Linked DNA regions of Macaca fascicularis. The protein of the gene in region 1 purifies or fractionates together with the protein of each later gene. This does not show direct contact. Links are inferred from orthologs where the notes say so. Each region holds a gene or a part of one and is shown in the gene's direction. Other genes may lie near its edges.

Region 1 (3,678 bases):
TCCACGTTGTTTTTTTAGAGTTATTTGCATCTTGAACTTTTAACGCAAATACATTTGACTTCCCACGGAGGAGTGTCTGTGAGGCTGGCAGAGCTGCGGAAAGCCTGCTGTTTTCCTCCAGGGCCGCGTGTCTTTTGTAAGGTTAAGGCTAGTGAGAAGATTTCCTGAGGGCAATGGGGATGTTTGGGATTTTGACCTTTTGCTAACCGGTCCTACTTTGTCCTGGCAAGTTACTGACCCTGTTTTTTCTCCCCAAGGGAATATCCGATGTAGCCTGGTCGTCAGATTCTAACCTTCTTGTTTCCGCCTCAGATGACAAAACCTTGAAGATATGGGACGTGAGCTCGGTAAGCAACACTCAGCGCTCCTCTCCAGGGGAGACCGGCAGCGGGGCACAGGGCGGGTGGTGGGGACTGGGTTGACTGCTCGGTAAGCAGCACTCAGTGCTCCTCTCCAGGGAAGACTGGCTGCAGGGGCATGGGGCGGGGGCAGGTGGGGGAGGTCGAGTTGACTTCGGGGAACAGCCAGTTGCTGGCGGGGCATCAGGCATGCTCTGAGCTGTCAGGCATTGATGAATGTGATCCGACACTTATGTTTGGGGAAATAAGCACTGGAGTAATACTACTAATACTCTTGTTTTAGGGGAAGTGTTTGAAAACCCTGAAGGGACACAGTAATTATGTCTTTTGCTGTAACTTCAATCCCCAGTCCAACCTTATTGTCTCAGGATCCGTGAGTGTGGCCGGGGTGTCTTCCCTGGGGGAGGTGGTGTTGGATGTTGGGAAGGCTGTTGAACTTGCTTGTAGCCACTGTGGAGAAGGCAGGTGGGGCCCGAGTCCTTTCTGTGCTGTTTGTGGGGAGGATGGACTGGTGGCAGGTCTTGGGTTCTGGGGAGGTTTGCTCCTTCTCCTTCCTGTAGAATCACTGTCATTTCTTCTTTTGTGTTCAGTTTGATGAAAGTGTGAGGATATGGGATGTGAAAACAGGGAAGTGCCTCAAGACTTTGCCAGCTCACTCGGATCCAGTCTCGGCCGTAAGTCCTGCTGACACAGACGGGGTGGTGTCCGGCACTACGTGCCTCTGATGCTGGATGTGGCCAGCTGTCTCCCCGAGGGGCGTAAGCCTGGACGTTGCCTGTGCCTATCTGATTCCTGCTGTCATGCCACAGTCTAGAGCATTCAGGTTGGAGGCTGGGACCTGAGAGATGAGTCCTGTGTGCAGTAGAGGGATGGCAAGGGGGTGGTGAGGTGTCAGTGGGGTGCCCTGTGGTGAGCACCAAGGGGCCTTTCGTGCAGGCTGGATGAGGGGTGGGCAGTGGCCACAGGCGTTCAGAGGGTAGTGTACCCTGAACTGATGCATGGGACAGGAAGGGCGGCCAGGCTGAGAAGGGTGCTGGGAGTGGGAGTGTAGGTGAAGTGTGAGTTTTGAGTGGAGTTAGCTCTGGGCGGGGATGGCCCAGTCCTGGTGGGAACAGTTGGAAGCTGGAGCTCTCTGGAGAACAGGCTTTGCAAAGGAACACATCCTGCCATTCTGCTGTTGCTGTACCACTGTGCACAACAAATGACCGAGAGGCCGAGCATGGTGGCTCACACCTGTAATCTTAGCACTTTAGGAGGCCGAGGTGGGTGGATCACTTGAGGTCAGAAGTTTGAGACCAGCCCGACCGACATGGTGAAACCCCGTCTCTACTAAAACTATGAAAATTAACTGGGCGTGGTAGTGAGCGCCTGTAATCCCAGCTCCTGGGGAGACTGAGGCAGGAGACTCGCTTGAACCTGGGAGGCAGAGGTTGCAGTGAGCCGAGATCGTGCCACTGCACTCCAGCCTGGGCAACAAGAGCGAAACTCCGTCTAAAAAGAAGAAAACAAGAACAAATGGCCGAGAGTTAAAGTGTATGCAGTATCACAAACCGCTCCATTTCAGAGTGGCCAGAAGGTTCTTCTGTTAACAAAGTGCATGAGGCAGTTTCTCGGCGAAGCCTGCCCTTCGTTGAGAAGCGGAAGGAAAGGTGGATGCAGCGTTTGTGCCATGCTGCCCGCCAGTGTGGCATTCATTTTCTGTTGTCTTGGTGGTGAATGGGTTTAAGCATTTTTACCCTTGCAAGGCTTTGCCCGAGTGAGATGGCAGGCGAAGCCCTGGTACTGGCTGGATGGGTAGTGTGTCAGGCCAGGGCGGGGTGCGGTGTCTGAGCCCCGCACATAACCGGGCCACAAGGCCCTCGCAGGCCCAGTGTCACCGCTGCAGGGAGGCTGTTTGCTGTGGGAATGTCATCATGTGGCCCTGTGCTTGTGGCTGTGTGCTCGTGGGCCCAGCCCCTTGGTGCCAGTCCCCTGCCCTTCAGGGCACCTTGGGTCACAGTCAGCAGAACTGACTTTCAGACTGGGCTGACAAATGAACACTTGTGAAGTAACCTGAGAAAGGGGTTCGCTGGTGGCCTTTGAGTTGGAAGAAAGAATTCCATGAGCATCCTAGAGGCCAAAGATAGTGCAGGTGGGACTCGCAGGTGATAGGCAGGATTTTAAAAGTCTTTTTCCTACGAAAGTAGTTTGCTCATAAAAAGACAAAAACAAAAACAGGTTGGGTGCCATGGCTCCCACCTGTAATTCCAGCACTTTGGGTGGCTGAGGCAGGAGGATCCCGTGAGACCAGGGGTTTGAGACCAGCCTGGACAACAGAGTGAGACCCTGTCTCTATACAAAAAGCAAAAAATTAGCCAGACGTGGTGGTGTGCACGTGTGGTCCCAGCTACTTGGGAGGACAGGGTGGGAGGATTGCTTGGGCTCAGGAGTTTGAGGCTCTGGTGAGCAAGATGGTACCACTGCACTCCAGCCTGGGTGACAGAGTGGGACCCCATGTCTTAAAAAAAAAAAAAAACTACAAAGGTGAGCAAATGTAGGAAGTAGAAAATGAATTCCCTGAGTCACCCCTGGGGTCAGCTGCTGGGAGGTGGAGTCGGTCCCTCTGTGGTCTTCTACTTTGCTGTTTTAGGTGCGTCTTTTCCAGCGTAGCTCACTGCTGTCCTTTAAGTAACTGGTACTGCACCACAGCTGCTGCTCTGTAGCCGTCTCCACTGCAGAGAGGTTTGTGGGGGCTTTGTTTTTTCTTTTTTTTTTTTTTTGAGATGGAGTCTCACTCTGTTGCCCAGGCTGGAGTGCAGTGGTGCGATCTTGGCTCACCGCAACCTCTGCCTCCTGGGTTCAAGTGATTCTCCTGCCTCAGCCTCCCAAATAGCTAGGATTACAGGTGCCCACTACCACGACTGACTAATTTTTGTTTTTGTTTTTTTTTTTTTTTGAGACGGAGTCTCGCTCTGTCGCCCGGGCTGGAGTGCAGTGGCCGGATCTCAGCTCACTGCAAGCTCCGCCTCCCGGGTTTACGCCGTTCTCCTGCCTCAGCCTCCCAAGTAACTGGGACTACAGGCGCCCGCCATCTCTCCCGACTAGTTTTTTGTATTTTTTAGTAGAGACGGGGTTTCACCGTGTTCGCCAGGATGGTCTCGATCTCCTGACCTCGTGATCCACCCGTCTCGGCCTCCCAAAGTGCTGGGATTACAGGCTTGAGCCACCGCGCCCGGCAATTTTTGTATCTTTAGTAGAGACAGGGTTTCACCATGTTGGCCAGGCTGGTCTCGATCTCCTGACCTCAAGTGATCCACCCGCCTGGTCCTCCCAAAGTGCT
Region 2 (4,427 bases), on another chromosome or scaffold:
ACATGAACTATAATCTATACAAAACTACAGTTTGTTCGTCTAGTTACTAGTCTCAGGGGAACAATTTAAAACTGTGCAAAATCAGTTGGGATTCCCGTAGCTTCCCGCTGAATACTGGTAGGAATTACTGGGTCAGCACTGAATTGTCTTTGTCATATTTTGAAATCCAAGTTTAAATATATCATTTTTATTGGTTACAGGTGGAAAACCTATTGAAAATATACAAGACTCCGTTTATAAAGAGAATCGTCTTTACATGTCCATTAATTTTTTCCTATCCCTGTTATGACATACAGCTTAGTAAATAAATTTGCCTTTTGAGAAGAGTAGTCGAAAGGCCTGTTTTCTTTTTTTTTTTCCACTTATACTAAAGATTAAAAGCCAGACTACAGCCTTTCCCCTGCACCTGAGAGACAGAACAAAGTGTTACTGTTGTCTAGGGGTTACAAACCTGCAGGTTTTGGGGGATAGAAAGGCTTTCCTGGGCCACCAGCTGTGATGAGGATTTAATTATGTCTTCTCTCAGGTCTGTCCACAAGCAGTCCCTACTTTTGTAAGAAGGCTCCACTGAAATCACGGCAATAGAACCCAACATTCTGCAGATCCCGCTTAACAATTTCTCATTGCTTTTTCTTGTAAGACTGTAATGAACTACTGATAAGACACAGGGTAAACACAGCACGAAAATCTGGCCCCAAAGTGCCGCCAACAGACAGACCTTTGGCGGTGGGGAGCCACGGTCGGCAAGCCAGGCCCCGCGGGCGACTCTTCATTCCCTCCGGCCTGGGGCGTATGGGCGGGGGTCAGGGGAGCCTTTCCCCCTTCACTTTCGGCGCGGGTGAGGTGGTCGGGGCTGCCAGCGTAGGTCTGGCCTAGGGCGGCACCCGGACCGCGGGGCACCGGGCCGGCAGCCGCTCCCCAAGCGCACTCCTCGCGGAGGCCATTATTTCCAGCAGTGCCAAAGTCTGAGCCTTCTTCGGAGGGCAGAGGTAGAGGGCCGTGTACCGCCTCCCGGCTACGCGACCTGTACCAGGCCCTGTGGGGTCCCGGGACCCCTGGAGCGCGCGCGGGACGGCCGGAGCCGCGGTCTGGGCACATCCCAGAGCTCCCAGGCAGGCAAAGGCCGTCCTTGGCATCTTCGCCCGCCGCTCGCGCCCGCCGCGGGCGCTGCCGGACCTCGCCCTTCCCCACCACTCCCCTCCCCCTCCAAAGCCTGCCGTGGTTCCCGAGGTGACACGGCCCGGACCCTCCATTCTCTGCCCCAGTGTATTTAACCAGCACAACCTAACAGGAAGCTCCCTCTCGGTGACAACCCTTCCCCCGACAGACGCGCCCAGCAGCCAACCACCGGCCAGAATTGGCCTGCGTCCCGCTCCCCTCTCGGTGGCGGCCTCGGTGGGCGGGGCTCGGGCAGCTAGCAAGTTAAGTGGAGCCACGGCTGACGTGAGTCAACAAAGGTCACGTGAGTCGTGCGGGCCGCGCCGATTGGTGGCGCCAGTCGGGCGGGGAGGGGGGGTCACGGCGGCGGCGTGGGGTTCGCTGTGTGACACAATTACAACAACTTTGTGCTGGTGCCGGGGAAGTTTGTGTCTCCAACGAATCCCCCCAGTGCTCCCCAGCCCTGCGCGCTCCGGCCGTTCCCGCCGTCCCCGCCCGTGGCTGCCCCTTGCCCAACCCCGCGATGTGACCCTACAGCCGAAAGCCGCCGCTGCCGACCCGGGGGCTTCGCAGCCCCTGCCGCCGCCGCCTTCACCGCCGCCGCGTTGGGATTTTTCGTCGCCGCCGCCCGCGGCGGAGGAGGAGGCGGCGATAAAGTTGGTGTGCTGGTCCCGCGCGCAGATTGGGGGCGTCATTGCGGGCCCCGGTCCGAGGGGGGGTGTCGGCGTTGGAGTTGTGAATTCGCTGCGTTTCCATGAAATCCTGCGGAGTGTCGCTCGCTACCGCCGCCGCTGCCGCCGCCGCTTTCGGTGATGAGGAAAAGAAAATGGCGGCGGGAAAAGCGAGCGGCGAGAGCGAGGAGGCGTCCCCCAGCCTGACAGCCGAGGAGAGGGAGGCGCTCGGCGGACTGGACAGGTACGGGCCGCCGTCACTCGCCCGGTCGGCTCCGGACGGGCAGTAGCCGCTCTCCCGGGAGGCCCGAGCGCGGCTTGTCTCTGGCGGCGGCGGGGCGGGCACCTCGGTTTGGCGCTCTTCGCGCCGCCTCCGCCGGGGCCTCGGGCTCGGGCAGGGACGGGTCGGTGGCGTTCCCGGAGCGTTAACGAGTAGCCTGTGTCTCTCCCCACAGCCGCCTCTTCGGGTTCGTGAGGTTTCATGAAGATGGCGCCAGGACGAAGGCCCTACTGGGCAAGGTAAGGCAGCTGCGAGTCGGAGCGCGGACACCGTCTCCCCGGCCGGCGCCGCGCTCGCCCCGGGCCCCGCGGCCGGGTCTGCGCTCATTGTGGCCGCGGACGATGGTCGAGGGGCTTCCGGAAAACTATTTCCTGCCTCTGCTCTCCCCCCACCCACGGGTACCCAGCTTGCTCCCTTGCTAAATTGCTCTTTTCCTCTTGTAGCTGGAGGAACAGAGACGGGATCGCTTTGGGGCCGGGCTCAACTGGGTCGACAAAACTGCCTGCTATTTTACAGCTTTTTGGGGATAGGCCGATGATCTTCGACGTGCATGTTTAGAGTCAAGGGATCGTGAATGTGTTCAGATTTCCCCCAATTCCGGACTTCACTTGCCTCTCACGGGTTTAAAGAAATTCTTTTCCTTCAAGCAGGCTGTTCGTGATGCCTACTGCTAACCAAATGTTTTAGGCTTTCTTGTGTCCCCGCTCCCAGAAGGGGGAAGTTTCACGGAGTTTAGGTCGGTGAAGAGTTTGCATTGGGCTGTTGACATGTATCTCGATCGCAATGTGTGTTACCTGAAGTTAGGTGACTTGTTTACTTTTTGGGTCTTTTTGGCATAGAAATACCGTAGTTATTTGTAAATGTGTTCTCTTCCTGGAGCCTCATTTCCTGCGTGTCTGACAGGGGAGACTGGGGAGGAATCGGGGTGTAGTCTCTGTTTATTTGTGTGGAAAGTTGTTGGCACTGTCATTTAGTTAAGTAATGGCTGCTCCTATCGGCCCAAGATGGCGGGACAGGGTGGGAGGAGAAAGTGAAGGGGGGGGGGTTTGGGGGAGGGAGTAGAGGTAAACATGGAAATAAATAGTAGCCGTGAATAAGCCTTTCCTTCGGAGTGTGTAGCTCAGTGGTGTTTAAAAAAAAATTACCCAAGATTATTTGCATATAGAATTCTTGTACCTTTCACAAGCTTGGAAGCAGCATGCATAAGCCTGGTAAATGCTTATCAACCTGTAGCACATTTAGTTACCCATCCTTAAGCTATTGAACAAAGGCTGGAGTCTCAGTCTCTAGGCATCAATTTATATTTCCTGACCAAAATCTGATTGCAATGATATTTGAATACTTTCTTCGTAATTGGGACCGTGAAAGTTGGAGTGTGTGCTATGGGTGTTGCATCCGTTAGACATTTTCTTTTCTAGCTGAAATCATAGCTTTGCATTTGACACCTAGCTTTATTGTTACAGTTGAGACGGAAGTTTGAAGTAAGTCCAACATTTTATTCTTAAGTTGATTTTTTTGTTGTTCTGAATTTTTGTCTGTAGCTTGGTTTAGCAGAGTCATCAATTCTTTTTTATCTGTAATTACAAATTTGTTTTTATTTCCAAGTAATTATAAGGAGTTTTATTGCATATAATGATCAGAAAACTAAATGGAAATAATGCTTTTCAGTAAGCCCGGCCCCTTTGACCGATACAGAAAACTTGAATTAAACTTTGACTACATAGGTATTAATTGGCTTCATTGCAATTATTGTTGTAAAAATGAACAGTGACTAGCTCTGGAAAGATTTAAGCGTCAGTAATTGTTGGTCTCCTGCCTTAAAAGTTTTTTTTCCCAATTTGAGTATTTAAAGTATTTTATTTAAAAATATTTGACTGCTGTCAAAGTTGTCATTACAAAAGATTAAACATGATTTAAATTCAAAGAGCATTATTTTGTTTTGGAGGGATTATTGCTGGTCTAACATGGATTGATAAAATTGCTTGCAAAGATAATTGACTTGGAAAAGTTTGGCCAAATCGATTGCTTTTGCTTATGGTGATGAAAAAATAAATGGAATCCGATGTTTTATGTTGAGAATGTGTAAAATGCTAGTTGATTTTATGTCTTAGAATGCTCATATTCAGATAGATTCACGGTGAATAGTGCTTAACATTGGATTTCAGATTGTAATATTAAACTCTGCAGTTATTATGCACTAACGAGTTTAAATTTTAAAAAATAACCATTTTCAAATATTTTTGGCAAGTTGTGCATTACTTGATGTTTGAATGCATGCTAAAAAAGAAAAACTAGTGAAGCTTCACTATGTTTGGGGG
Region 3 (4,471 bases), on another chromosome or scaffold:
AACATCCTCTTTAAATATCCGCCATCACACCTATTTGCTGTTTGTTCCAGCCCCTCCGCGAACCCTGCCTCTACCCGCCGCATGGCAGCTACCTGGGAGACAGCCTGGCGTTGAACGAATTAAAATCGTCCGTAGGGTGCAGTGTCCTTCTCTGTCAATCACAAGCAGATTTAATTACCTGTGCCAGAACTCACGGGAGGGCCACACCGTCCGCCAGCCCCGCTCTTTCCTGGCTACAGATAGAAGCTCCAGGTTCCGGGGGTTCCGATTGGTGAACTCTGGGGCGACAGCTTCATTTTCCACAGGGTGCACTTCAGGCTTCGCCGCCGGCTTGGAGCTGGTTGAGAGGGCTGCGAACCTGCACCCTGGGCAACGGAAACAACCGCACGGGGCTTAAAAATGACGGATACGGACAGCGCACGAACTCGCTCTAACGTCTATCCCCTTTCACACCCCCAGTCTTCAGGCCCAGGGGACGAAAAATACGTGTGCCCACAGGGTGGAATCAGCACTGACCCCGTCCTTAACTTCCTACTGAGGTGTTCGCAGTGCTGCGAACTCTTATTTCGACCTGGCACGTCGAATATACCAATAGAATCCGCACGTTCCAAAGTACTGTGCAGACCCTGGCCAATCAGCTGGGCGAAGGGGGCCAAGACTAATTACCAGGGTTCCTGCAAACGGAGAACCCCCAGAACCGCGACCGAAGCGCCATCGCTGAGACGATCTCGGAAAAGCCTTGCCTCTTTTTCCTCACGCACGACTCACTCGCTCGCCTGCCGCAATCATACGAAGTCAGAGCCTTTGGTTGCTGTAGATCCCCAAACTCTCCACGCCAGACGCCCCCGACCCGGAAGTAGAAAGTCCTCCGCCACTGAGTGGCCAGGAGGAGGCTCTGTTATCCGACAACGCCAATCACCGCTCACGTGGAGGGGCACGCAGGCCCTGGAACCCACCAATCACCTCGTGGCTACGCCCACGACCACGCTTTTTGCTGAAGTCCAGGGTCAAAAGCACCCACAACTTCACCTAACCGTATTTGAGTTGTCTACTAAGAGATCTTGGGCGGTCATTGACTGGTCCATACACACCCCTACTGGGCACCGCGTAGAAATGAGGCAGGGCACGGTGCAGTTTTCGCTTTAAAAAGGGTAGTTGTCTTCCTCGAACCAAAAATTTTCCCGTATGGCCCGCTGGAAAAACTGCCCCGTCCCACCCAGGTTCGCGCCCCTAAACTTATACTCCTGAGGCCTGGAGCAAAGCCGGCCGATTTGCCTTACGCTCCCCGAGCAGGGACGAGGAAAAGACATTAAAGCTAAAACGCAAGACTCGCTCAGAACCTCAATTCTACCTTGGAGAAGGGCCCGCCCCTCCAGTTACACCCCAGCTCCAAGCTCCACCCGCCTACAACCTTTCTAGAAGGCACTAGAATGGCCCACTGCGTCTGCGCAAGGTTGTTTGCACCGAAGGTTCCGCCTCTTTCCAGCAGTCCAAGATCCGACTTCCGTTCTCCGCTTTCGCGCCCTTCCCATCGGCTATCTAATTGGATAAAAATGCTGATCCCGCCCCTTCCCTAGAGCCTCACTTCCGGCACGCTCCCGTTTCTCTTCCTGTTGCCCCCGCCTCTTTTTCCTTCCCGCCGTGCCCCGCGGCCGGGCCGGGGCAGCCGGGAAGCGGGTAGGGCGGTGTTACCCAGCAGCTCCTGGGGCATCGCTCGGGTACCCTCCACGCCGTCGCAGCCACTGCTGTGGTCGCCGGTCAGCCGAGGGACCGCGATACTGGTTGCCCGCGTTGTGAGCAGAATTCAACGTGTATCGCTGCCGCGAAGATGGAGGGGCCTTTGTCCGTGTTCGGTGACCGCAGCACTGGGGAAGCGATCCGCTCCCAGAACGGTAAGGGAGGGCCGGGCCTGGGTCGGGCTGGCGGGCTGGGAGGGCCGAGTCCCATCGCGACCGGACCCCGGCTGACCGCTTCGTGCCTCTTCTCCTTTACCTCTGCAGAAAGGGCCTCGAGGCCCCGCAGCCGGACCCGGCCCACCCGCCGTTCTCTGGGGCAGGGCGCTGTCGACCCCTCTCCCCACAGCGGGGAGGAGCCCCGGAGCGCGCAGCAGGTTTTGAGACCGGCACCGCGTGGATGTGGTGTCCGGGGCGGCGCTGGAAACGCGCCCCTCCGCGGGCCTCCCGGACTTGCACGTGCGGGCCACGCCTCGCATCCTCTTTTGTTTCAGGGCGGCCCCTTGAGCGTCCATGTTAAACGCCGGGTTTCGTTTCAGGACCATTTACCAGAAAAAGTAGGTTCATCCGCGCCCCTGCGGATGAGCCCGGTGCCCTTTCCGCCCGTAGCTGCAGTCGGGGTCGGGCGCCCGGCGTCCGGCTCTCTCTCAGTTGATAGCATCTTAAAGTAGAGTTAGCACAGGAAACGCCACTGGAGTGCAGTTGACCCCGGGAGACGGCAGCGCCAACTTAGCAGAGCGTTTGCTGTCGGGCCTTTGTATACCTACAGAGCGCACTGTTTTTTGATAGATTCGTAATTTTTTTTCGTAAACAAATCAAAGTACCTTCCCCGTTGGCTACCGATTTCTCTCCTCACAGATAAAAAGGGTTCTAATGAGCAAAAAACTTGCAGGATCTGAAGGAAAAGGCATAGCTGTACGAAGTGGCAGAACATGAAATTGTGGTTATTACTTTTTTTCTCCCGCCATCAGATTCCACCCCCTCATCAAAGCTGTGCCAAATAGGCTCGCTTTATTTAGGGACAGGGTCCCACTTGTCGCCCAGACGGGAGTGCCAGCATAGCTCACTGCAGTCTCCAAGCACAGGCCCGCGCCACCACATCGGCTTTGTTTTTATTTTTTGTAGAAATGGGTTTCGCTGTGTTGCCCAAGGGGGTCTCGAACTCCTGGCATCAAGCTGTCCTGCCTCAGCATCTCAGTGTTGGGATTACAGTTGTGAGCCACAGTGTCCGCCCCATTTAGGTTCCTAGTAGGTGGTTTTTAAATAACGCAGATTTGTACATTTGGGAAATACAGGGGCTGTTGGATGTCATTTACCTTTAGGCTGAAATTACTGTCTTTCAGAGTTGTGGATTCTTATTTCTTTTTTATTTGTGTTTTTAATTGTCTACAGTTATGGCTGCAGCTTCGATTGCCAATATTGTAAAAAGTTCTCTTGGTCCTGTTGGCTTGGATAAAATGCTGGTGGATGATATCGGTGTAAGTACACGTTAACTGTTGTGTTAGTTGCCTTAAAGTAAAACTATTTTCAGTGTTTTGCTGTGTTCATTCTTTGATTTTATCAGAATCCAGGTACTGGAAGGTGATATTAAAGGTGGATGTGTATTATAATGGGGCTGTGTTGATTTCTATGAGTGGTTCATATTTTTTCCTGCTAATTTCTTAGGATGTGACCATTACTAACGATGGTGCAACCATCCTCAAGTTACTGGAAGTTGAACATCCTGCAGCTAAAGTTCTTTGTGAGCTGGCTGATCTGCAAGACAAAGAAGTTGGAGATGGAACTACATCAGTGGTAGGTAGACTGGCTAAAGAATGATCATTTTTCTAAAAACAACCGACTTTCAGAAAGTTGAAGCCATAAGTGGGTCATTTGTGCTGGGTCAGAAATAAGTTACATATTCTGAATGCCCAGATGATTGAGCAAAGAGAAAAAACAAAAGAAGTTACACATTTAAGAGGGAAAATAAGCTTCTTAGGTACAGATTCAGAAACACAATTTGTAAGTTGGTAGTTATAGCTTGTTTGTACAGTTTAAGTAGGAAAGAATTTGAGTTCATTTAACATAGCCCCATTGTTTTAAATGTTGGTATTCACAAGTTTTGAGGGCTTATTTTTCCCTTTATGGCAGTGTTCAGACATCACACAGATTTTTTTATGGTCTCTCAAAAAATCTTGTTTCCTCCCGCATCACCCCTTGAGACTTGGAAAGCTCTAAAGTATAATTATTTAAAGAACAAAATGTTACCAGTTTGGGGGAGAAACAATGTTTTTGTGTTATTTTTTTAAGAGACCATGTGTAGCACAGGCTGAAGTGCTGCAGTGCTGTCATATCTCACTGCAGCCTGGAACACCTGGGCTCAAGTAATCCTCCCGCCTTAGCCTCCCAGAGTGCTTGGGATTGCCGGCATATGCCACCACAACCAAATAATTAAAAATCTTTTTTTTTTCTTTTCTTTTTTTTCGGTAGAGACAGGGTCTCACTATGTTGCCCAGGCTGGTCTTGAGCTCCTGGCCTCACGTGATCCTCCCGGCCTCATGTGATCCTCCCTTCTCAGCCTCTGTAGTGCTGGGATTACAAGCATGAGCTGCTGCACTAAGCCTGTTTTATTTTTTAAATCCTGACAGGTAATCTCAGGAATTCAAAATAGGAGTGTGAGAAATTAATAAATACATCATGATAGGACAGTGTGATCTTTTCGAGTCAGTAAACGTGATATACAGTATAAACTTCATAGA
Region 4 (4,272 bases), on another chromosome or scaffold:
TTTTTCATTCAATTAGCAAATATTTTTTGTGTATCTCCCATGTTCTGGTACTAGGCACTGGGACACAATGACCAGGATAGAAAAAGATCACTATCATGGAGCTTTCAATCATACAGGAATAAAGTGAATTTTGGAAATGTTAATTACATCTTAAGAGAATTCTCTTAAATTTAGGGGCAATTGGTAATATTTTAGAGGATAGAAATTAAATGTTAATGGCCTTGATGCTCTACCAGATATTTTAAAAATAAATGGAAATAAATAGAAATAAGTACCAACTGTTACCCAGTTATGTCAAAATACTAAAAATATGTGTTGATGAATACCTGACCCTCCAAAGAAAAGACAAGCACAAAACAGCAAAATAGTAGAGGTGGAGTTAAAAAAAAAGTCAAAGTATTTAAAATTACTTGTACATGAGAAGCAGGAAACAATACTTCAATTATGTCTACTTTAACCAGATGCTCAGTCTATCAGACAATTCTGTCCAAAATGAACCTGTGCTTGCAGAAGAACACTTCCTTCTCTGCTTACATTTACATCTAAATCAAGCATATAAAAAGGAATCACCCTTGTTTCCTCAGGAGTATTACAGAACAGAAGGAAACCCAGAGGCACAATTCCCCTACAGGGAATTATATTAAACAAAATATAGACTTTGGGCCAGGCACGGTGGCTCACACCTATAATCCCAGTACTTTGGGAGGCCAAGACAGGCAAATCACCTCAGGTCAGGAGTTGGAGACCAGCCTGGCCAACATGGTGAAACCCCTTCTCTACTAAAAATACCAAACTTAGCTGGGGTAGTGGAAGGTGCCTGTAATCCCAGCTACTCAAGAGGCTGAGGCAGGAGAATCGCTTGAACCCTGGAGGTGCAGATTGCAGTGAGCCAATATTGTGCCACTACACTCAAGCCTGGGTGACAGCCTAGACTCCATTTCCAAAACAAACAAACAAACAAACAAAGAGAGGTTTAGAATTATATAGTGAGCTCCATGTCCTCCTCACTCCACTGATTTGGGTTCTTTAAAATCCATTGTATAGTAGCTACACATTCTTGTATTGGCACCAGATTGGCTAGACCCTAGGAAGCATCCGAGATGTTTCCAGAAGCAAAGACGCTTACTGCCAGGCGTCCCCCATCTCCCGGAATCACCCGGAAGTCTAGAAGCCATCCGGCCCCACAGCGATCCCTTAAAAGTGCTGGCTTAGCGGGGGACGAATCCGTGTCTTTCTTGTAACTTCCAAGCGCTAAATAGTTTGAAACCAACAGCTCTTCGAAAACACTATCATTTTCATCCTAGAAAAGCAAGTTCTCGCGAAAAGACGAGTTTCACGCTGGGCAGCGTAATTGCGCTATTGCGCCTGCGCGCGCCGGGGCTCCGCCCTTCCGGCCGGAGGGGCTGTCACTCACATCCACCTCCCGCCCCGCGTCGTGACGTAGCACTTCCGTTTTCTCTGGGCAAGCGGTCGAACGGAGGGCCGGCGAGGTGCCGGGTCTGGTTCTCCGAGCTGCGCCTCTCGGCAAGATTTCGCGTTGCCCATCCTGGGCTTTCATCAGTAATCGATAGTGGATCACTCTGCCAAGCGGCAGGAAGAATTAAGGAAACGACAAGGAGACGCTTGGCTGCCTCCCGCTTTGCTCCTTGCGGCCTCCTCTTCCCTTCGCTCCGGCCCGGTGAAACTGAACTTATAATCGTCACTGGATTGTAAGTACCCGAGGCGAAGAGAGCTCACTGAGCCCTGATGTTTTGAGTGTCTGTTCCGGGAGAGTTTGTAAATTGAGAGTATCTCTGCTGGCCTTTCTGGGCCGAAAACCGTTCCGCGGGAGCCGCCATTTGCTTTCCTGCTTCCTAGCTAGGTAGCTGTCTCCGCGTTGTCGGGCAGCGGCACCTAGAGGTTGGGACTTGGCATTGCATCTGATTTAATGAACTTAAGTCTGTGAATAAGCCTTTGTGTTAACGACTGGTATTTGGTCACAGCATATTTAGAGAAAAGACTTGGAGCTTAAATAAAAACGAAGGCAAAATAGACGCTAAGCTGCTGATCTACAGAGAACTTCTTGTAATTAAAATATTTCAATTCATAGCGAACTGGTGTTTTAAATTATTGCAGTAGCTGGAACTTTTTACGGTAACCATCATTTATTGGAGAAGTGAGTCACAAAGAAATAAAAATGAGTAAAAGCAAAGATGATGCTCCTCACGAACTGGAGAGCCAGTTTATCTTACGTCTGCCTCCAGAATATGCCTCTACTGTGAGAAGAGCAGTACAGTCTGGTCATGTCAACCTCAAGGACAGACTGACAATTGAGTTACATCCTGATGGGCGTCATGGAATCGTCAGAGTGGACCGTGTTCCATTGGCCTCAAAATTGGTAGACCTGCCCTGTGTTATGGAAAGCTTGAAAACCATTGATAAGAAAACCTTTTACAAGACAGCTGATATCTGTCAGATGCTTGTATCCACAGTTGATGGTGATCTCTATCCACCTGTGGAGGAGCCAGTTGCTAGCACTGATCCTAAAGCAAGCAAGAAAAAGGATAAGGACAAAGAGAAAAAGTTTATCTGGAACCACGGAATTACTCTGCCTCTGAAGAATGTCAGGAAGAGAAGGTTCCGGAAGACAGCAAAGAAGAAATATATTGAATCTCCAGATGTGGAAAAAGAAGTGAAACGATTGCTGAGTACAGATGCTGAAGCTGTTAGTACTCGGTGGGAAATAATTGCTGAAGATGAAACAAAGGAGGCAGAAAATCAAGGCCTGGATATCTCTTCTCCAGGAATGTCTGGTCACAGGCAGGGCCATGACTCATTAGAACATGATGAGCTTCGGGAGATATTCAATGACCTCAGCAGCAGCAGTGAGGATGAAGATGAGACCCAGCATCAAGATGAAGAAGATATAAACATCATTGACACTGAGGAAGATCTGGAGAGACAACTACAGGACAAGCTAAATGAATCAGATGAACAGCACCAGGAAAATGAGGGAACCAATCAGCTGGTTATGGGAATTCAGAAGCAGATTGACAACATGAAAGGCAAGCTCCAAGAGACCCAGGACAGGGCAAAACGACAAGAGGATCTCATCATGAAAGTGGAAAATCTGGCTCTCAAGAACAGATTTCAGGCTGTACTGGATGAGCTCAAACAAAAGGAAGACCGAGAAAAGGAGCAACTCAGCTCTTTGCAAGAAGAGCTAGAATCACTCCTAGAGAAGTAAAAAGAACTGATTCTTAATTTCAGTGTTCAGACTGATCAGCATTAGAAAATTCTTGGCTTTATTACTTGTACTGGATATTAACACCTTGCACTTCCTAGTCCCTCTAATGCTGTGTGTTCTGTTAAGTTCTTTCATTTGTTTATAGTTTTGTTTTTCAGCAAATTTACATTGTTTTGCTAGGTGTTCATCCTATAAGAAGCAGGATTGTATAGGCAGAAAAATGATAGTAGGAAAGTTGCAGGATTAGTGGAATGTATGGTTCAACCTTAATTATAGCTCCACTGCAGGACTTTGCTGTTTCTCCATTTTCTAGAAGCTGCTGTTGCTGCCTTATGATGACATGAGATCAATAAGAAGAACCTAGTCTAGAGACAGTGATGCTAGTTTGCATATGTTTTCCCATGCAATAGCTGTTTTCCCAGTTACTCAAAGCAGTTTCCCATATGTAGAGATGCAAATTTTATTAAGTTGTTTACAATACAATAAATAAAAGCATCTGTTTTTCACTTTGTAGTGTATCTTGTTCTTTCATGGTTGGTGGGAGTCAGGTCCCTTTTGAGGTGGTTTTGTGGTGGAGTTTAGTGACTAAGAAATTTGATCCAGTTCTGCAGGTAGAGGCAGTTTGGTTTATGAAAAAAAGCAACACAGCAGGGGTAAAGAAATTGGGAATTGTCATGTTTGCATCATATTAAGATTCCAGTTCTATCTGATCTACTTGAAAGCTGGGAAACATTAGATACAGAGCTTTCTTAAACTACCCTAATTTTTGTAGATGAAGGCCTTCGTGCCTTTTTTAAAAAGCTTACTAAATCTACCTGCACAAAATGTTGGAAACAAAGCAGTGGTTATCAAGTGCAGTCCAATGAATCATTCCATTGGTTTGGATTAAGATTTTATTTCTATTTTTCTTCAGTTGAGTTCTTATAATTAATAATCTGAGAACTGAGGTCATTTATCAATGTCATTTCATCAAAATTGCTCATAAAGTAAGTCGGTACCAAATTTCTCATGCTTTAAAGATAATCTAATGCCTCACAACATGAGCT
Region 5 (4,302 bases), on another chromosome or scaffold:
GCAAATTTTGACAAAAACAAAATTTAACCACCTGATAACAAAAATAAATCTTATCCAAAACTATTTATGAAATGAACAATGTTTAGATATTCTCCACTCTTTCAGCATATCGGGTGAAAGGTACATCTCATTGAAAAAATCAGGTCGAATTCATAGTCATTTGGTATCTTGGTAAAACCTATCTGGTATATTTCCCAGAATCTGAAAAAGTGAAAAAATAAGGATTAAGTAAACAAATCCTTTGGCGAGTCAGGTGGTTTTCGGTTCTTTGCTTCTGATAAAAAGGAAGGAGGGCCTAATTGAAGTCAGCTCATATTTTTTGAAGTCAACCAATTTTTTGAGGTCAAGAATTGAATGATATTGCTACAACAAAACTCTTCCATTCCTAGGCACAGTACTTGTTTATATTAGCAAGGTTTCTCAGGGCACACAGCTATAAAAATTACAAATAGGAATAGAATTGATGCTCAACCTTTTTTCTCCTACTAATAAGACATATTCAGCCACAGATGTAGGAACTCTTAAAAACAGCAATATGCATTTTTCAATAAAATTACATATACTATTTAATAATTATGAAATTTTCTAATATTTATGTTGCTTTGACCAGGTACTACTAACAATTTCAAGGATGATGCAGTCCTAAAGCAGGTGATTTGCTAGCTGTGTAACCTTATTCAACACACTTCATTTATCCGGGCCTTGGTTCCCTGATTTGCAAATTGGGGATAGTAATCGGACCTAGCTCTTAGTGTTTGTCCAAAGATTAAATGAGTTAATACATGTAAAAGCACTTAACGCCACGCTTGGTACGTAATATGTGCTATGGATGTTTTACCGGCTATAATCATAGTAATCAATAGCAAAAAGCCTAAAACCAAAAGCCTGTCGGTTTGTCTTCACACATAGGAAGAAGGGGCTGGAGGGATCCGGACTAATCCACAGGCACACTGCCAGAAACAAGGGACTCCCAAGGGAAAACGGGATGTGCAAGCAGAAGAGAGACAGAAGGACCGTGGAGCTACCTGCTGGGACAAGAATAGTGCAATTTCACAGGCTAAGAACGACGAGGGTTGGGCGAGTTTAGAATGAGCAGATCCACGTAGGGTTCGAATTATACATGTCTATGGATCTCTATGCACTGCTCCGGGAAACAGGAGCAAGAGAGGCAGGCCTAAAATGCCGTCGCGGATGAAGCGGGGCCAGAACTTCACTGCTCCCGCTCAGACCGAGGGCCCCAGGTGTCGCGCGGGTCGAAGCCCTAACCTCCGGGGACTCCAGACCCCAGCCAGTGACCCAAACCCCACAACTCGCGGCCAGCACAGCCTTCTCGTCTCCGTCGCCACAGTCGCCGCCACTTCCGGCGCACCTCGGCCTCGCGAGGGCGCTCGCGCCCGGCGACGGCCGAAACTGGCTCCTCGCGGCCTCCGTCGCCGGACTTTCGTCAATGTCGTCACCGTCTTTTCCTCCTTTCCCCCCGTTCCCTTTTACTTCCGGGGTTGCTCTGGATCCTCTGGTTCCGTAACAACATCCCGTTGGCTTCTCTCAGGCGGCGGGACCAGTGCAGCCGCCGCCTCCCAGGTGCGCCCGCCGGTCAGGGCCCTTGCCCTCCCCGGCACAGGCCGCCATGGCCACCAACCCACAGCCGCAGCCGCCTCCTCCAGCGCCGCCGCCTCCCCCGCCGCAGCCGCAGCCACCGCCGCCGCCGCCGGGCCCCGGGGCTGGCCCCGGCGCGGGCGGGGCGGGCGGCGCGGGTGCGGGCGCCGGGGACCCGCAGCTCGTGGCCATGATCGTGAACCACCTCAAGAGCCAAGGGCTCTTCGACCAGTTCCGCAGAGACTGCCTGGCCGACGTGGACACCAAGGTTCGGAGCCGCCGGGTTTGGGGGTCTGCGAGGGAAGGGGAGGACCCAAGGGCGCGCTTCTTTTGCAGTGGCTTCCTCTTGGAGCTGCAGCTGTGTGCCACACGCTGTGTAAAGCACAGCGTGTTCATTCGTTAGCATGTCCATTGGTTCGTTTTACCGACTAGTGTTTAAGTGCCTACTACGTGCCAGTCACGGTTTCGGCGCAGTGATTACGCCGGTCTGGTGAGCAAGACTAAGGCATTGTTCTTACAGGAACTGGTTTGGAAATAGTAGCGCTAACAGTGGCTAGTTTTGTATTCATTCTCATATCTGATGATTTTACTTTGTATCGAAGTTATGTTTGCCTTCTTTCTTGAAGGTTTCTGGGCGGTAAGGGCCATGAACCTTTATCCTTTGGAGAAATCACAAAATGGTAATTGAATCAAGTTATATGCAATATGCTTTGCTGGACATCGTGGGGCTGGGAGCGCCAAGATAAGGAGGCAAACCTGAGACAGGACTTTAGTATGGTTTCTAGCAGTGACTACCTGATTTAGGTAACTTAGGCCATGTCACCATTCTAAGGTAAGAAGGGACAGGAAGGTGGGGTAGAGAGAACCGAGTCATGCAGTGGAGAAAAGATGCAGGAGAGGTGACAGCAGATACTGAAGTGGAGAAAGGACAGGAAAGAGCAGATTCAGGAGAGTAATGTAGAGAAGGGAAAGGTCAGCAACGAGGTTCCCTGTCCAAAACGAGGGGCTGGAAAGGGGAAGGGATTTTGTACCAAATGTCAGAGTGAAAGGGAAATTAGCAGGAACAAGTAAACTTAGCTGGATTGGCAAAGAATTAGCCAAAGACACCAGGAAAGGGCAGTCAGTGAGGTGGTGGGAAAACCACAGTAGAGTCTAGATTTCTGGAAGCAGAAAGCATGTTGGAAAATTAACTGGTTTGCAGGGGTTGCTTTTGTCTGCTTGTTAAATCTGGTTGGGTCCATTGGATAGGAGTTTTGATGAAATGAGGGTTTCCTTTTTTTTTCTTTTTTCTTTCTTTTTTTTTTTTGAGACGGAGTCTCGTTCTGTCGCCAGACTGGAATGCAGTGGCGCGATCTCGGCTCACTGCAACCTCCGCCTCCCGGGTTCAAGCGACTCTCCTGTCTCAGCCTCCCAAGTAGCTGGGATTACAAGCGTGCGCCACCACGCCCCACTAATTTTTGTATTTTCAGTAGAAATGAGGTTTCACCATGTTGGCCAGGATGGTCTCCATCTCCTGACCTCGTGATTCGCCCAATAGGCGTGAGCCACCGCGCCGGCCGAGGGTTTTCTCATAGTATGTTTAGTTGTTGTGAGGAGCCTTGTTTCTTTGAGAAATGCATGTTTACAACATCCGCAGATTCTTCTAAATCTTTCAGGTAAACTACACACAGTTCCACTATCTCTTCTGGGGAAACTCTCTTGAATATCCTGGTACATCTTTCTTTATAAGGACTCATACTGGGCCCACTGTGTAAAATGTGTTTTTTCAGGATATTGGAGGTTTTGCACCACAGAGAATTCAATTCACTTGGGAGTGTTCATCTATTTAGAAAGTATGGTTTTTTTACTTTTGTCTTCAGGAATATGCACTACTACCTTTTAGAAATAATGCCTATTGCCTTTATTATTTTTGTTATTTAGTGGGAAAAGGTTAGACATGGCCAGGTAAATGTTACCAAATAAAGGTAGTTATTCGTATTCAACAAATAGAATTTTTACTTTGCTGTTCTCGGAAACCCATGAATCTGTGTGTTATCATTATGTATACAAATTAAAAATTGTAATGTACTGCTGCAATGTCTAAGGCTCAACTTTTTTATTATCCTATTCCCACAAAATGTTATTGGTATGTGTCTATAATATCCCTGCCAGATCCTTCAAAGTAAAGGATTAAAACCGTTTTTGGAGGGAAGGAGGGAAGCACAGTAGCGCTGATCATCTAATGAAAGTTAGGACCTTCTCTCGAGAAAAATGCACAAATAACACATTAAAACGCTGTTTTTCTGCTTGAAAATGGTCAGCTATAGACAATTTCATGAGAATCAATCTAATAATGTATACAGTTTCAGGGATCTCAGGAACCATGGAATAAGAACCCATTTTAATGTTCTTAGCCTCTTTTTTGAGGTCAAGAAATGAATGATATTGTTACAACAAAGCTCTTCCATTCCCAGACACAGTACTTGTTTATATGAACAAGTTTTCTCAGGGCACATGACTATAACAATTAGAAATAGGAATAGAATTGATGATCAACCCTGCTTCTAGTAATAAGACATATTCAGCCACAGATGTAGGAACTTTAAAAAGCGGTGGCTAATGCCTGTAATCCCAACACTTTGGGAGGCTGAGGCGGGCAGATCATTTGAGGTCAGGAGTTCAAGGCCAGCCTGACCAAAATGGTGAAACCCCATCTCTACTAAAAAT
Region 6 (3,186 bases), on another chromosome or scaffold:
GGCAGCTCCCACCACGCACACCCTTATGCCATGTCTCCCTCCCTGGGGTCTCTGAGGCCCTACCCACCAGGGCCAACACACCTGCCCCCACCTCACAGCCAGGTGTCCTACAGCCAAGCAGGCCCCAATGGCCCTCCAGTCTCTTCCTCTTCCAACTCTTCCTCTTCCACTTCTCAAGCGTCCTTCCCATGTTCACACCCCTCCCCCTCCCAGGGACCTCAGGGGACGCCCTACCCTTTCCCACCGGTGCCTACGGTCACCACCTCTTCGGCTACCCTTTCCACGGTCATTGCCACCGTGGCTTCCTCGCCAGCAGGCTACAAAACGGCCTCCCCACCTGGGCCCCCACCGTACGGAAAGAGAGCCCCGTCCCCGGGGGCCTACAAGGCAGCCACCCCACCCGGATACAAGCCCGGGTCTCCTCCCAACTTCCGAACGGGGACCCCACCGGGCTATAGAGGAACCTCGCCACCTGCAGGCCCAGGGACCTTCAAGCCGGGCTCGCCCACCGTGGGACCTGGGCCCCTGCCACCTGCGGGGCCCTCAGGCCTGCCATCTCTGCCACCACCACCCGCGGCCCCTGCCTCAGGGCCGCCCCTGAGCGCCACGCAGATCAAGCAGGAGCCGGCTGAGGAGTATGAGACCCCCGAGAGCCCAGTTCCGCCAGCCCGCAGCCCCTCGCCCCCTCCCAAGGTGGTAGATGTGCCCAGCCATGCCAGTCAGTCTGCCAGGTGAGCGGCCAGGTGGGGCGGAGGTGGGCCTGGAAGGGGGACGACAAGGCGGCGACGGAGAGGGAGTAGCAGGGAGGGGCCCTGTGCTGGTGTAGTGTTTTAGAAAAGCACGCCCCTCTCCTCCGTCCATGCCTAGCGGCCAGTGAGGCCGGCAGCAGCTCAGCCTGCAGGGGTGGTTTTTAGGCGGGGGCTACAAGCACTCGCCGGGGTCGCGGCTCCGCGGGCTCCATCCGGCATCTCGCACCGGCTGAGCGCGTGCTGCTTCCACGCTTGGCAGGTTCAACAAACACCTGGATCGCGGCTTCAACTCGTGCGCGCGCAGCGACCTGTACTTCGTGCCACTGGAGGGCTCCAAACTGGCCAAGAAGCGGGCCGACCTGGTGGAGAAGGTGCGGCGCGAGGCGGAGCAGCGCGCGCGCGAAGAAAAGGAGCGGGAGCGCGAGCGGGAACGCGAGAAGGAGCGCGAGCGCGAGAAGGAGCGCGAGCTTGAACGCAGCGTGGTGAGTGCGTCACTGCCTGCGCCACCGCCTTCTTTGCCTCCTCTCTTAGCCGCGCTGCGGGGCTGGGGCTGGGGCTGGGGCTGGGGCTGGGGCTGGGCTTGGGGCTGGGCTTGGGGCTGGGGCTGGGGCTGGGGCTGGGGCTGGGGCTGGGGCTTGTGCTAGGTGGGCGGGCGAATCAAGTCGCCACCTGTCGGAGGGGAGGTACCACTGCAGCCCAGGAAATGGAGCCAAAAAGGATTTCAGCGACAGCAGTCTGCATTCCTGGGTTGGGAGAAGGCCTGCTCAGATGGGACTACCTGTGGATCCCAAGAAGGGCAGATATTCGGGGGGGGGGTCGCAGTTAAGTTCCAGGTGGGCAGAGTTTCAGTGAGGTGAGGCATTTTGGCATTCAGCTGTGGAAACAAATGGGCAGCTTGAAACCAGCCACCTCTTCTCATAACTGCCGCTTTGACTCCACTTTTCCCTGTACCCCACAGAAGTTGGCTCAGGAGGGCCGTGCTCCGGTGGAATGCCCATCTCTGGGCCCAGTGCCCCATCGCCCTCCATTTGAACCGGGCAGTGCGGTGGCTACAGTGCCCCCCTACCTGGGTCCTGACACTCCAGCCTTGCGCACTCTCAGTGAATATGCCCGGCCTCATGTCATGTCTCCTGGCAATCGCAACCATCCATTCTACGTGCCCCTGGGGGCAGTGGACCCGGGGCTCCTGGGTTACAATGTCCCGGCCCTGTACAGCAGTGATCCTGCTGCCCGGGAGAGGGAACGGGAAGCCCGTGAACGAGACCTCCGTGACCGCCTCAAGCCTGGCTTCGAGGTGAAGCCTAGTGAGCTGGAACCCCTACATGGGGTCCCTGGGCCGGGCTTGGATCCCTTTCCCCGACATGGGGGCCTGGCTCTGCAGCCTGGCCCACCTGGCCTGCACCCTTTCCCCTTTCATCCGAGCCTGGGGCCCCTGGATCGAGAACGTCTAGCACTGGCAGCTGGGCCAGCCCTGCGGCCTGACATGTCCTATGCTGAGCGGCTGGCAGCTGAGAGGCAGCACGCAGAAAGGGTGGCGGCCCTGGGCAATGACCCGCTGGCCCGGCTGCAGATGCTCAATGTGACTCCCCATCACCACCAGCACTCCCACATCCACTCGCACCTGCACCTGCACCAGCAAGATGCTATCCATGCAGGTGAGACCCCCTCCTTCCTCTCCCTGGCCCTTTGGGGCCACCTTCCCCCATCATGACTGGGCTCTTTTGTTCTTCTGGCTGAGACTTTCCTCCCCTGGCCTGGCATGAACTTTTCCTGAGATTGCTGCCCTCAACTTTGCCTCCCTGACGTTCTCTCAGCCTTGTCTCCTCATGGCCTTGCCTGGCCACAGAGCCTGTATTCCCCACACCCCAGTCCTCTCCATAGTCTAGTATCCTACCCATGACAGGCCCAGGTGGGAGCCTTTGAAGGACACACCTTTCTATCCTCACAGCCCCATTCTCCCAAGCCCTTCACAAACATATCTTCTTATTTATTTTTTTGAGACATAGTCTCGCTCTGCCACCCAGCCTGGAGTGTAGTGGTGCAGTCACAGCTCACTGCAGCCTCAACTTCCTGGGCTCAAGTAATCCTCCTACCTCAGTCTCCAGAGTAGCTGGGATTATAGGCGTGTGTCACCATACCTGGCTAATTTTTGTAGTTTTGGTAAAGATGGGGTTTTGCCATATTGGCCAGGCTGGTCTCAAATTCCTGAGTTCAAAGCAGTCCACTCACCTTGGCCTCCCAAAGTCCTGAGATTACAGACGTGAGCCACCCTGCCCAATCCACAAACCTATTTTCTGATTTCTCTGGATTTAACTCTTATTTTTTGCCATTTTCTCCTTTTCTCACAGTGGGAGGTCTTTCATGTTCTTCCCCATCTCTAGATCTGTAACTTCCTAGAAGGGGCCCTGTAGCTTTGGGTTTGGGTGTCATAGGCAAT
Region 7 (4,273 bases), on another chromosome or scaffold:
TCTACACCCTCAAAAGGCCTGCAGTTTACTGGGAGAGACAAACATTGACCCAGTAATTATGCAAATCACTAGAAGCCTAGATTCAAAAGAAAAGAAAAAAAATATAGAAACCTAGATTCAAAACTTAGAATCAAGATGTACAAGGAAGTGTGATTTCAGGTCTGTCTCAATTCTAATATAAACTCTCCTGCACTCTGGGCAAGTCCTTCCCTTCCTCTGGATGTTAGTATCTTCTTCTGTAAAAATGGTGTCATACCATTTGCTTCTGAGGAAATCTCGCCCATTTGTCAGAATTCAGCCAAGGCAACATCACCTTCATGGTGCTTTCCCTGGCTCTCCAGGCTGTTCCTGGGGCTTCTGCTCTGGTCTTCTTGCCACCTGGGTGTACCTGTCTCACCACATCTCATGTTACAAGTTTTCTAAGCAAGGAGTAAGCTCATCAAGACTTTTATCCCTGTATCCCCAGTGCATTGTGGTGTCTGGCTCGTGTTTGTTAAATGGATGGATGGATGGATGGATGGCAAGTACAATTGTGGTGCAGGTTGTGCGAATATCATTATGAAACCTGAAGGGACAATTTGCTGGCTGATTGTCTCAGCTGAAATAATGGGACAGTATGAGCATTATTATATAGGTTTTGAAGCCTGAAGATTTCTAGTTCTGATTCTTTGTGGTGCTTTCTTGGGCGGATGGGCCTCTTTCTGCTTGTCTGTAGCTGCATTCGTAATTACACTACCTTACAGGGCTGTAGAGTTTTGAAAACTGCAAAATGTTATTTACAGTCAACTGAACTGAACTTAGCAGGAACCTTATCTCTCGGCGGAGGATGGAGATTAGAAGCAGGGGAAGACAATTCCACGGAAGGAGTGGTGGGTTGCGCTGGGCCTTTCCAGACGAGATGCAAAGGTCTGGGAGTCAGAAAACATTGGTTAGTAACCAATTGCAGTTTAAGCTCTGAACCTCAGTTCTTCTATTTCCAAAACGGAAATAATAACTTGAGCTTCGCGTAAGAGTATGACGTTCAAACGTGATAATGGATAGGACGGAAGGATTAGGAGTGGTACCCGGGGGCCACTACCTCGTGCAACGCCCCAGCCCGAAATCAAATCCGGGGCGTGGTCCCACTGTGCTACCGACCCCAGCCTGGGCAGGAAGCGCCGGCTGCGGGGGAAGCCAACCCAGAGACACAGCCGGAAGTGAGTGACTGGAGCTCCAGCAGCAGCCGCGATGGGCGCAGCCGTGAGCCTATGGAGAGCGGAGGCGTTCCCGCTTCCACCAATGGAAGGCCAACCTAGGCGGGCCTTTGCAAATTGCCCTAGTAACGGCCGCATGGTAACTCGGGCGCTGGGCGCACTGTCCTATCTGCTGGTTTTCCACGCTGGTTTTAGCTCCCGGCGTCCGCAAAATGAAAATTGAGGAGGTGAAGAGCACCACGAAAACGCAGCGCATCGCTTCCCACAGCCACGTGAAAGGGCTGGGGCTGGACGAGAGCGGCTTGGCCAAGCAGGCGGCCTCAGGGCTCGTGGGCCAGGAGAACGCGCGAGAGGTGTGGCCAGCGGACCAGGGAGTTGGGGGCTCCGAGCAGGGCTGCTGCGGCGAGAGAGCTGCTGAAGTCGGTGGCTCGGGTCGGGATGCGCGCGCCAGGGGTCTCCCGCCATAGTTGCCTCAGGGAAGTGAAAATAGGCCAGGGGCTCGGGGAGGGGCGCCGCCCTGGAGCTGGGTGAGGGGCCGCCCCAGGAAAACTAGTGACCACCCACTGGGGCCAGTTGACGGTTTGCTTCAACTCATGGACAAGTACTAATGGAAACCCACACAACCCCGTCCCCTTAATCCATGCTGAGCTCTATTCGCGACACTTATTTCCCGGGATACAGCGGGAGATAAGATAGGAGGTTACATTTTAGTGTAGTGAGAGACGATAAACGTGTACATCAATAAACAAAAATGATTATCTTGGTGGGGTTAGTTACTGCAGAACTTTGTCGGCCACGGTAAGGAAATTGGATTTTATTGTGAACGCACTGGCAGGCCGTGGGACGGTTTAAAGTAGGGAATTGACTAAACTTTAAAAGCTCGTTTTGGTTCCCAGGACCCGGGAGCTGAGGGAGAGAAGTGGGAATTAGGGAGAAGAGCAATCTGGTTTATTTATCCCTCCAAGCATCCTTTTTGACCATTCCAATTAAATCTCCTTTTTCTGAGTGCTAGTGATGCCAAGTACTTTCACATACATTATTGGTTTTTGGCAGGTGAAAATATTGAGTTGGGGAGAGGGCACTTCACCATATACTTGACACTCGTTTTAGTAATGGTAAAGCGGGGATTTGCGCTCACATGTATTTCTGACTCCCAAATCAGTGCTCTATGATGACATAGCCACTCTCTCTGCCTGCTGTTGTCTGAGGTCACAGCCATGCCCCTTGGCCTTTGCAGAGCCTTAGCTTGTACAAAAATCTTCACTTAATACAAAGTTAAGCTACTGCCTCTTAGCCTGATTTTTCTAAATAGAAAGGGCTCAAAAGAAAAACCTCGGGTTTCCATTTTGAGCATCATCTTTCCAAAAAGGAAGTGTTTGACCCTGTCTTACTAAGCAGCTATTACTGCAAGTAGCTAACATTGGTTGAGTGCTTTCCATGTGCCAAGCACTGTGCTAAGTAGCTGTGTGTCCATTGCCTTGTCATATCCAACGAATTAGTTGTCCCTTCCCTGCGTTAGTATGACAGTTTTCAGACATACAAAAAAAGTTGAAAGACTTGTATAGTAAGTACCTGTGTACCTAAATTCTATGATTAACATTTTACTATGCTGCTTTATCATATATCTTTCCATGTGTGCCTCTCCCAATCCACTTTTACATTTCAAGGTGAATTGCAGGCATCACTACACTTCACCCCTACACCCTTTAACATGTGTGCCATTGACTAGTATGAACTCTGTTCAAGTGAGGAAATTCTGGTTCATAGAGGTCAAGTAAGTAGGTCCAAGGTTACTCATCTGGTAAGTGGGAGAGTATTTTAACTCAAGTCTATGTATTTAATCCCAGAGTCCATGCTCTTAACTGATGTTGTATGCTTAAGACCCACCTCAGCTACCAGGTTCTTGTGTGATTCTGGTCACATCAGTAACCTGAAAAATGAGAGTTAGACTAGGTGATCATTTAAAGACCCTTCCAATTCTTTTTAAATGTTAGAATTCAAGCTTATCTCACCTGAGAGAAGTTGGAGTGGAAACTGAGGGAGAATAGATGGAAGAGGTCCTGGTCTGTAAATAAAAGCACATATCCAAGGTTTGTAAAGTCTCTTCTACCTTGAGTTTTCCAAAGAGCTTCAGTGCTGAGGATTATATGACAAGGTTGTATGGAAAGATCATAGTAGGTTTTTTTGTTTTTGTTTTTGTTTTTGTTTGAGATGAAGTTTCGCTCTTGTTGCCCAGGCTGGAGTGCAATGGTGCGATCTCGGCTCACTGCCACCTCTGCCTCCCGGGTTCAAGTGATTCTCCTGCTTCAGCCTCGTGAGTAGCCATGATTACAGGCGCCCACCACCATGCTCGGCTAATTTTTGTATATTTAGTAGAGACAGGGTTTCACCTTGTTGACCAGGCTGGTCTTGAACTCCTGACCTCAGGTGATCCACCCGCCTCGGCCTCCAAAAGTGCTGGGATTACAGGCATGAGCCACCGCGCCTGGCTAGGCTTTTTATCTGTTTAGAAATATAGCATCTGGGCTGGGCGCAGTGGCTCACACCTGTAATCCCAGCACTTTGGGAGGCCAAGGCAAGTGGATCACCTGAGGTCAGGAGTTCGAGACCAGCCTGGCCATCATAACAAAATCCTGTCTCTACTAAAAATACAAAAATTAGCCAGGTATGGTGGCATGTGCCTGTAGTCTGAGCTACTCGTGAGGCTGAGGCAGGAGACTCACTTGATCCTGGGAGGCGGAGGTTGCAGTGAGCTGAGATTGCGCCATTGCACTGCAGCCTGGGTGACAGTGAGACTCCATCTGAAAAAGTAGCATCTGAAGAATATCTTCTAGGTTCTATTAAGGGCAGTGTGCTTTGGTAACTGAAGTGGAAATGGGATGGATATAGCATACACACACATATTCCTTACTTTTCTTTTTTTTTTTTTTGAGAGGGAGCTTTACTCTGTCGCCCAGGCTGGAGTGCAGTGGCGCCATCTTGGCTCACTGCAAGCTCCACCTCCCAGGTTCACGCCATTCTCCTGCCTCAACCTCCCCAGTAGCAGACGGATCACAAGGTCGGGAGATTGAGACCATCCT

What was found.
Region 2: the proteins of WDR5 (region 1) and KDM6A purify together in Homo sapiens (affinity purification with mass spectrometry; 7 studies listed by BioGRID and IntAct, counting the BioPlex papers as one, with this or other methods). This does not show direct contact. The link is inferred for Macaca fascicularis from reciprocal best matches to the Homo sapiens genes WDR5 and KDM6A.
Region 3: the proteins of WDR5 (region 1) and TCP1 purify together in Homo sapiens (affinity purification with mass spectrometry; 3 studies listed by BioGRID and IntAct, with this or other methods). This does not show direct contact. The link is inferred for Macaca fascicularis from reciprocal best matches to the Homo sapiens genes WDR5 and TCP1.
Region 4: the proteins of WDR5 (region 1) and TAF7 purify together in Homo sapiens (affinity purification with western blotting; 3 studies listed by BioGRID and IntAct, with this or other methods). This does not show direct contact. The link is inferred for Macaca fascicularis from reciprocal best matches to the Homo sapiens genes WDR5 and TAF7.
Region 5: the proteins of WDR5 (region 1) and BOD1L1 purify together in Homo sapiens (affinity purification with mass spectrometry; 4 studies listed by BioGRID and IntAct, counting the BioPlex papers as one, with this or other methods). This does not show direct contact. The link is inferred for Macaca fascicularis from reciprocal best matches to the Homo sapiens genes WDR5 and BOD1L1.
Region 6: the proteins of WDR5 (region 1) and ATN1 purify together in Homo sapiens (affinity purification with mass spectrometry; 4 studies listed by BioGRID and IntAct, counting the BioPlex papers as one, with this or other methods). This does not show direct contact. The link is inferred for Macaca fascicularis from reciprocal best matches to the Homo sapiens genes WDR5 and ATN1.
Region 7: the proteins of WDR5 (region 1) and RUVBL1 purify together in Homo sapiens (affinity purification with mass spectrometry; 3 studies listed by BioGRID and IntAct, with this or other methods). This does not show direct contact. The link is inferred for Macaca fascicularis from reciprocal best matches to the Homo sapiens genes WDR5 and RUVBL1.

What each region holds. Positions count from the first base shown.
Region 1 is NC_088389.1:5,230,509-5,234,186, reverse strand, and holds part of WDR5 (WD repeat-containing protein 5), read left to right. Parts: intron 1-257; coding exon 258-347; intron 348-642; coding exon 643-732; intron 733-949; coding exon 950-1,033; intron 1,034-3,678.
Region 2 is NC_088395.1:44,930,631-44,935,057, forward strand, and holds the start of KDM6A (lysine-specific demethylase 6A), read left to right. Parts: upstream 1-1,565; 5' UTR 1,566-1,912; coding exon 1,913-2,073; intron 2,074-2,284; coding exon 2,285-2,348; intron 2,349-4,427. UniProt on the Homo sapiens protein: Histone demethylase that specifically demethylates 'Lys-27' of histone H3, thereby playing a central role in histone code. Demethylates trimethylated and dimethylated but not monomethylated H3 'Lys-27'.
Region 3 is NC_088378.1:11,200,601-11,205,071, forward strand, and holds the start of TCP1 (T-complex protein 1 subunit alpha), read left to right. Parts: upstream 1-1,638; 5' UTR 1,639-1,828; coding exon 1,829-1,892; intron 1,893-3,125; coding exon 3,126-3,211; intron 3,212-3,398; coding exon 3,399-3,527; intron 3,528-4,471. Other genes in the region: MRPL18 (large ribosomal subunit protein uL18m), read right to left, coding at 179-365, 667-715. UniProt on the Homo sapiens protein: Component of the chaperonin-containing T-complex (TRiC), a molecular chaperone complex that assists the folding of actin, tubulin and other proteins upon ATP hydrolysis.
Region 4 is NC_088380.1:147,784,521-147,788,792, reverse strand, and holds TAF7 (transcription initiation factor TFIID subunit 7), read left to right. Parts: upstream 1-1,445; 5' UTR 1,446-2,176; coding exon 2,177-3,226; 3' UTR 3,227-3,732; downstream 3,733-4,272. UniProt on the Homo sapiens protein: The TFIID basal transcription factor complex plays a major role in the initiation of RNA polymerase II (Pol II)-dependent transcription.
Region 5 is NC_088379.1:12,793,720-12,798,021, reverse strand, and holds the start of BOD1L1 (biorientation of chromosomes in cell division protein 1-like 1), read left to right. Parts: upstream 1-1,489; 5' UTR 1,490-1,627; coding exon 1,628-1,864; intron 1,865-2,878; exon of another isoform or gene 2,879-4,302. UniProt on the Homo sapiens protein: Component of the fork protection machinery required to protect stalled/damaged replication forks from uncontrolled DNA2-dependent resection.
Region 6 is NC_088385.1:7,874,250-7,877,435, forward strand, and holds part of ATN1 (atrophin-1), read left to right. Parts: coding exon 1-731; intron 732-1,008; coding exon 1,009-1,231; intron 1,232-1,707; coding exon 1,708-2,404; intron 2,405-3,186. UniProt on the Homo sapiens protein: Transcriptional corepressor. Recruits NR2E1 to repress transcription. Promotes vascular smooth cell (VSMC) migration and orientation. Corepressor of MTG8 transcriptional repression.
Region 7 is NC_088376.1:155,323,220-155,327,492, forward strand, and holds the start of RUVBL1 (ruvB-like 1), read left to right. Parts: upstream 1-1,297; 5' UTR 1,298-1,405; coding exon 1,406-1,546; intron 1,547-4,273. UniProt on the Homo sapiens protein: Possesses single-stranded DNA-stimulated ATPase and ATP-dependent DNA helicase (3' to 5') activity; hexamerization is thought to be critical for ATP hydrolysis and adjacent subunits in the ring-like structure contribute to the ATPase activity.